Stegostoma tigrinum: one gene and its partner. The protein of the gene in region 2 purifies or fractionates together with the protein of the main gene of each other region. This does not show direct contact. Links are inferred from orthologs where the notes say so. Each region holds a gene or a part of one and is shown on either strand. Other genes may lie near its edges.

What was found. The genes of interacting proteins can lie anywhere in the genome.
Region 1: the proteins of ccdc6b (region 2) and ppp4r2b purify together in Homo sapiens (co-immunoprecipitation; 3 studies listed by BioGRID and IntAct, counting the BioPlex papers as one, with this or other methods). This does not show direct contact. The link is inferred for Stegostoma tigrinum from reciprocal best matches to the Homo sapiens genes CCDC6 and PPP4R2.

What each region holds. Positions count from the first base shown.
Region 1 is NC_081364.1:39,750,906-39,754,652, forward strand, and holds the start of ppp4r2b (serine/threonine-protein phosphatase 4 regulatory subunit 2-B), read right to left. Parts: upstream 2,911-3,747; 5' UTR 2,855-2,910; coding exon 2,821-2,854; intron 2,699-2,820; coding exon 2,617-2,698; intron 1-2,616. UniProt on the Homo sapiens protein: Regulatory subunit of serine/threonine-protein phosphatase 4 (PP4). May regulate the activity of PPP4C at centrosomal microtubule organizing centers.
Region 2 is NC_081373.1:50,824,543-50,828,289, forward strand, and holds the start of ccdc6b (coiled-coil domain-containing protein 6b), read right to left. Parts: upstream 2,498-3,747; 5' UTR 2,440-2,497; coding exon 2,188-2,439; intron 1,825-2,187; exon of another isoform or gene 1,787-1,824; coding exon of another isoform or gene 1,724-1,786; intron 1-1,723.

The DNA.
Region 1 (3,747 bases), on a different chromosome or scaffold from region 2:
AAGGAGCTGGGGGTGGCGAGGGAGAAAGGAGCTGGGGGTGGCGAGGGAGAAAGGAGCTGGGGGTGGCGAGGGAGAAAGGAGCTGGGGGTGGCGAGGGAGAAAGGAGCTGGGGGTGGCGAGGGAGAAAGGAGCTGGGGGTGGCGAGGGAGAAAGGAGCTGGGGGTGGCGAGGGAGAAAGGAGCTGGGGGTGGCGAGGGAGAAAGGAGCTGGGGGTGGCGAGGGAGAAAGGAGCTGGGGGTGGCGAGGGAGAAAGGAGCTGGGGGTGGCGAGGGAGAAAGGAGCTGGGGGTGGCGAGGGAGAAAGGAGCTGGGGGTGGCGAGGGAGAAAGGAGCTGGGGGTGGCGAGGGAGAAAGGAGCTGGGGGTGGCGAGGGAGAAAGGAGCTGGGGGTGGCGAGGGAGAAAGGAGCTGGGGGTGGCGAGGGAGAAAGGAGCTGGGGGTGGCGAGGGAGAAAGGAGCTGGGGGTGGCGAGGGAGAAAGGAGCTGGGGGTGGCGAGGGAGAAAGGAGCTGGGGGTGGCGAGGGAGAAAGGAGCTGGGGGTGGCGAGGGAGAAAGGAGCTGGGGGTGGCGAGGGAGAAAGGAGCTGGGGGTGGCGAGGGAGAAAGGAGCTGGGGGTGGCGAGGGAGAAAGGAGCTGGGGGTGGCGAGGGAGAAAGGAGCTGGGGGTGGCGAGGGAGAAAGGAGCTGGGGGTGGCGAGGGAGAAAGGAGCTGGGGGTGGCGAGGGAGAAAGGAGCTGGGGGTGGCGAGGGAGAAAGGAGCTGGGGGTGGCGAGGGAGAAAGGAGCTGGGGGTGGCGAGGGAGAAAGGAGCTGGGGGTGGCGAGGGAGAAAGGAGCTGGGGGTGGCGAGGGAGAAAGGAGCTGGGGGTGGCGAGGGAGAAAGGAGCTGGGGGTGGCGAGGGAGAAAGGAGCTGGGGGTGGCGAGGGAGAAAGGAGCTGGGGGTGGCGAGGGAGAAAGGAGCTGGGGGTGGCGAGGGAGAAAGGAGCTGGGGGTGGCGAGGGAGAAAGGAGCTGGGGGTGGCGAGGGAGAAAGGAGCTGGGGGTGGCGAGGGAGAAAGGAGCTGGGGGTGGCGAGGGAGAAAGGAGCTGGGGGTGGCGAGGGAGAAAGGAGCTGGGGGTGGCGAGGGAGAAAGGAGCTGGGGGTGGCGAGGGAGAAAGGAGCTGGGGGTGGCGAGGGAGAAAGGAGCTGGGGGTGGCGAGGGAGAAAGGAGCTGGGGGTGGCGAGGGAGAAAGGAGCTGGGGGTGGCGAGGGAGAAAGGAGCTGGGGGTGGCGAGGGAGAAAGGAGCTGGGGGTGGCGAGGGAGAAAGGAGCTGGGGGTGGCGAGGGAGAAAGGAGCTGGGGGTGGCGAGGGAGAAAGGAGCTGGGGGTGGCGAGGGAGAAAGGAGCTGGGGGTGGCGAGGGAGAAAGGAGCTGGGGGTGGCGAGGGAGAAAGGAGCTGGGGGTGGCGAGGGAGAAAGGAGCTGGGGGTGGCGAGGGAGAAAGGAGCTGGGGGTGGCGAGGGAGAAAGGAGCTGGGGGTGGCGAGGGAGAAAGGAGCTGGGGGTGGCGAGGGAGAAAGGAGCTGGGGGTGGCGAGGGAGAAAGGAGCTGGGGGTGGCGAGGGAGAAAGGAGCTGGGGGTGGCGAGGGAGAAAGGAGCTGGGGGTGGCGAGGGAGAAAGGAGCTGGGGGTGGCGAGGGAGAAAGGAGCTGGGGGTGGCGAGGGAGAAAGGAGCTGGGGGTGGCGAGGGAGAAAGGAGCTGGGGGTGGCGAGGGAGAAAGGAGCTGGGGGTGGCGAGGGAGAAAGGAGCTGGGGGTGGCGAGGGAGAAAGGAGCTGGGGGTGGCGAGGGAGAAAGGAGCTGGGGGTGGCGAGGGAGAAAGGAGCTGGGGGTGGCGAGGGAGAAAGGAGCTGGGGGTGGCGAGGGAGAAAGGAGCTGGGGGTGGCGAGGGAGAAAGGAGCTGGGGGTGGCGAGGGAGAAAGGAGCTGGGGGTGGCGAGGGAGAAAGGAGCTGGGGGTGGCGAGGGAGAAAGGAGCTGGGGGTGGTGTCGGGGGGGGGCGAGGGAGAAAGGAGCTGGGGGTGGTGTCGGGGGGGGGGCGAGGGAGAAAGGAGCTGGGGGTGGTGTGGCGGGGGGCGCGAGGGAGAAAGGAGCTGGGGGTGGTGTGGGGGGGGCGAGGGAGAAAGGAGCTGGGGGGTGGCGTGTGGGGCGGTGAGAACGGAGAATGGGGGTGGTGTGTGGGGGGGTGAGAACGGAGAATGGGGGTGGTGTGTGGGGGGGTGAGAACGGAGAATGGGGGTGGTGTGTGGGGGGGTGAGAACGGAGAATGGGGGTGGTGTGTGTGGGGGGTGAGAACGGAGAATGGGGGTGGTGTGTGTGGGGGGTGAGAACGGAGAATGGGGGTGGTGTGTGTGGGGGGTGAGAACGGAGAATGGGGGTGGTGTGTGGGGGGGGTGGTGTGTGGGGGGGGTGGTGAGAACGGAGAATGGGGGTGGTGTATGGGGGGGGTGGGTTGTTTAGCCTTCCTCACTGTGAACCCTCCGACCACCCACAACTCTCCCCGGCTGAGAACTGAGTTGAGTTCCCTGCTCCCTCCCGGGCCTCAGGGCCCTCTCTCTCTCTCTCTCTCTCTCACGGTTTCACTCACAGGGTTTCTCCCGTCTTCGCGACATGACAAAGGAACTGGTCCAACAGCGACGACACTTCCTTCTTGGATTTCTTCTCGAAATCTGCCGGTGGGAAAGACACACACAGAGAGCACAGGTTATTCAAAGCCGTGGGGATCGGGATTCCCAGTCCCGCGGTGAGACACAAACCACCAACTAATGTTCGTTCGTCTGCCACCACTGACCTGACAGAGCTTCCAGGAGGCTCTCCGTCTCCATCTTGGAGGTGCAACTAAAACCGATTCCCCCTTTCCCCCCCCACCCCCGCGCCAGAAACCGGGACCCAGAGTACCACCGAATAAAGTTTCCCCCCGTTCCCTCTTTCAGTAGACAGCGGGCCCGGCACTGGGTGAAACACACAACATGGCGCCGCCCGCAGACGTCACTCCCATCGCACGGCGCGGTGGCGTCATCCACGCGCCTCGACGTGATGACGCCATCGCAGCTGGCGCAGGCGCGCATGAGCGGGCCTCCGAAGGCGAGGTTGACTGTCACGTGTGCGTCCCTTTCGCCCCACCCCCTACGTTGAGTATCATCACTGTGCGTCCTGGATATTCAATTGCTTCCCCAGTCTTTAAGCTCCTTTTTATGACGAAAGTGCGCCGAGGGAGGAGCTGTCCGAGGAACATTAAATTCCTACGCGTTTATTCCTGCACATGACGTAGAAATTGCGTGTAACAAGTGTGTTGGAGAAACTCTGTCTTCTAAAACTCTGTCTTCTAGATTGTGGCAAACCTGCTGTGTTTCTCTAGGTCTGGCGGCACCTGAAGGAACAAACTTTCCCCTATCTGGAGAAACCTCCCCCGCAGAACGGGCAGCCCTCCACTCCAACCCCAACCTCACCATCAAACCCGCAGACAAGGGTGGCGCAGTGGTAGTATGGCGCACTGACCTCTACATCGCCGAGGCCAGACGTCAACTCTCCGACACCACCTCCTACCGCCCCCTCGATCATGACCCCACACCCGAGCACCAAACCATCATCTCCAACACCATTCATGACCTCAACACCTCAGGGGACCTCCCACCCACAGCCTCCAACCTCATTGTTCCCCAACCCCGCACGGCCCGTTTCTATCTCCTTCCCAAAATCCACAAACCTGCCTGCCCTG
Region 2 (3,747 bases):
AAGATTCCAATAGGCCTCAGTCTGTCATGTTCACAAGTAGCTGTCAAAGAACGATAATCCCTCTGGTCGCTCTTTTTGTGTTTCAATATTTCAATTCGTAACATTTCCCTTGCAAGTTTACTTCAGCTCACTTCTGTTGAAGAGTGCAGACTTAAAGAACTATCAGTGGTGGAGAATCAGACATGGGAGTTAATTCAGAGTTCCAACCCCTAATCCCCATGCAAGGGTATCCTGGTATTATCCAATGTACTGCCCTCCCCCGAGCCCACAAGTGACCTGGGCAACTTTGGCTACCTGCAATGCCAAGTGAAAATCCCAATTGATGCAGCTACAAGGCCTTAACAAGCCCTTTAGTTAAATCTGTTTGGATTCAACCAGCTCCCTGCTGCTTGCTGGTGGGCTGCCGATCAACCTTAAGGAGCACTCTTGAAATGGCTCAGGAATGTGTTAAGCAAGTAGTCAGTAACATTTTCTAGTCCAAGCACTGTTCAAAACACTACCATAAAAAAGGGACATGCTGGTAACATTAGATCAGTGTTTGGCAAACTTTACATCTCACATTTAAGCAACAAAATTGCAAATATGATTCTTCAAATGACAGGGAATGAAGCAGGTGGAAGTAGAGGGAGGGGCAGGGAGACTGGCTCTGAACACAGGTGCCCGTTACAGTAGGTGCCCAGATGTTCGGGTTTCGGCTGTCTGGAAACCATTGCTGCATCAGAACTTGCAATCTTAAAGCTGAAGTTTTGGGAAGCTCCAATTAGATGAAGGAGAAGGAAGAGTTCCATGAAGTGCAGCAGAGACTAGTTGGACAAAATAACCTATCCCAGCAAAAATGTTTCTCAACAGTTTGTCATTTTGCCCTTTTGAATGCCAGAATTACAATTAACTTGAATGGGAATCTACCAGCACACATTTATGAATAGCAAAAACTATCCCAACTTGTGTCAACTGGGTAAACATCAGGTTTGATGTATTGTTCTTGTCTGACCTATCAAGTTCTTGATACAGTTCATAGATTTGAGATATATTCAACTCAACTGTCTATTTGCAAACATCAGCACTGTACTTCAGTACTGTAAGCAATGAATTGCTGCAAACTGAAAAATGATTCACCAAAACATGCAAACTTCAATCACCTTTCTGTATAAAAATACCAATGGAGAGTCATAAGCTAATGCTGCCCATCCCTCAAACACCATGCCTCTTTAAAAATTAAAGATTTCACTGTCTCAATTTAATCTTTCTAGTCCAAAGAGAATGACTCGTTTGAAACCAGGAATGGCAGAATGTGATCTGAAACACAGTGCAGAGGACTGGGCAGAAGGTGTGCGGAAAAATGCAGCTAGATTTTGACCACAACAAAAAAAAACATGGAGGCCCCGACAAATCAAACCCAATGCTTCAAATGGTGAATTATATCTCCATCATTCCAAACCTGCAGTTATGATTTCACACAACAGGAACAAAGGAACACTGTTTACAGGCACCACCCCTCAGAATTACAGATTTTTGGGAGCTAATTACTTTAAAAATCAATGCAATCACTGCCTGCTTCTTTTCGAAAAAAAAGAGGAAACATTTGCAAGCGGCAGCCACCGTTTACTGCAACGTGACAGTCGGGCTATTTAGTCGTCGAGATGGCATGTCAGAAGCACTTGGAGGCAAACCAGAACGTTATTTTTGGATTCCCACAGCCCCGAAAACATGCCACAAAACACACCGAATCCTGGGAGCACCTGTTGCAGGTTTTGTTTCCTACAGCGTGGGTTAAAAGCAGGCTCATCCATCGAATTCGGATAGAGCATCAGCCGGGAAACAAAGTGTGGGATTTGCTTTAACAAAATAAAAGAGGCAGGTACGGATGAGTTAATAGCAAACCAGTGCAAGCTTTCCATTCGCTCTTAGGTTTGCAGAATCACTGCTTCACCCGCCACCCAGAGCACTGAAGGTGCTGGATCTCCTTCGTACCATACTCCCCAAGCCTTGCCTTGCCCAAACCAGCCCCTACGCCCCGGGCCCAACCCCAGCCTCAACTGTGTGGCCTAGCCCTCAATGGTCAGCCAGCAGCCGACTCCAGGTGGGGCCGGGCAGGGCTGTGCTGGGCTGGTCTGGGAAGGAGGCCCCGCAGACAGGGAGAGCAAGAGTGTCCGGGAACCCGCGGCCCAGGGCCTCGGGCTCACTTACGATGGTAACGCTGGCCTTGCGCAGGTCGCGGTTCTCCTCCTGCAGGGCCTTGCACTTGAGCTTGTAGGTCTCCAGCTCGATCTTCAGCACCTTGTTCTCCTGCTGCAGCGAGGCTAGCCGGTTGCTCAGCTCCTCCAGCTTGGAGGCCGAGATCACGATACCAGCCTTGGAGGCGGCCGACGAGTTGGCGGGCGGCAACGCCGATGAACTGCCCGCCGCATCCGTGTCACTCTCACTGGCGCTGTCCGCCATGTTGGAGCCCACTCGCTGCCTGATCCTGGGCTTGTGGAGGGTGTGCGGAGCAGGGCGGGGCCTAAGGGGGCGGTGTTCCACGATGGGCTGTGCCAACGCGAAGGGCAGCCCCCGGGCAGGGGGCGGGACTATAGCACGAGAACAGGGGCGGGGCGGAGCATAGGGAGAGGGCGGGGTAATTATGGGCGGGTGAGGCCCATTGCGGGGCGGGGAGATTGCCGGCGCTGGTGCACTGATAGGGGCGTGGCACGGTGAAGACGGCGCCTAAAGCCCACTGCAGCGGAAAGCGGTGGGCGGGGCACAAGCATGGTGGCGGGGCCAATGATGAAACTGGGCGGCTTGGAAAGCGGTGGGCTGTCCTGTCCTATGGAGTCGTGGCTTGGAGGGAACGCGAGGCAATTAGTGGGACGGAGGGCTTGTTCTGTAGGGGCGGGACTTGAGTGGTGGGGGCTTTGGGGTTGAGGGGCGGGGCCTATCCGTTAGGAGGAGTGTGCGCTTTGGGGCGGGGCTTGTGTCGCGGGTCCTCCGTTGTAGAGGCGGGGCTTGTGTGCAGTGCGGGACTTTCGGTTGGGGCGGGGCTTGCTTGCAGGGGCGGGGCTTGTGAGGGGAGATTTCTGGATGCGCAGAAAGGTGGAGGCCTAGGTGGACAGGGCAGTGAAGAAGGAATGTGGTATAGGTGTGAGGCTGGAAAAGCACAGCAGGTCCGACAGCATCCAAGGAGCAGGAGAGTCAACATTTCAGGCTGAGACCCTTCGTAAGGGCATTTGGACTGAAACGTTGACTTACCTGTTCCTCAGATGCTATCTGACCTGCCGTGCTTTTCCAACCTCACACCTGTACCACATTCCTTCCTCACTGTTCTATCTACCTGCTGTGCTTTTCCAACCTCACACCTGTAGACTCTGGCTTCCAACACCTGCAGTCCTTATGGTCTTCAAGGAACTTAGTATGCTCACCAATGCATTGAGTATAGGTGTTGGGAGATCATGATGTGCCTGTAGTGGACATTGGTCAGGCCAGTTTTGGAACACGTTTGGGCTGAATGTCCTAATGAAATGTTTTGGCCTGAAACATTGACTTTTTGCTCCTCGGATACTGTCTGATCTGCTGTGCTTTTCCAGGCTCACAATTCTGATCTCCCTGCTATAGGAAGGACGTTGTGAAACTTGAAAGGGTGCAGAAAAGATTTACAAGGATGTTTCCAAGGTTTGAGGGTTTGAGCAATGGAGCAAGGGTGGCTGAATTACCTGGGGCTATTTTCCCTTGAGCATCGGAGGCTGAGGGCTAAACTTATGGATGTTCATAAAA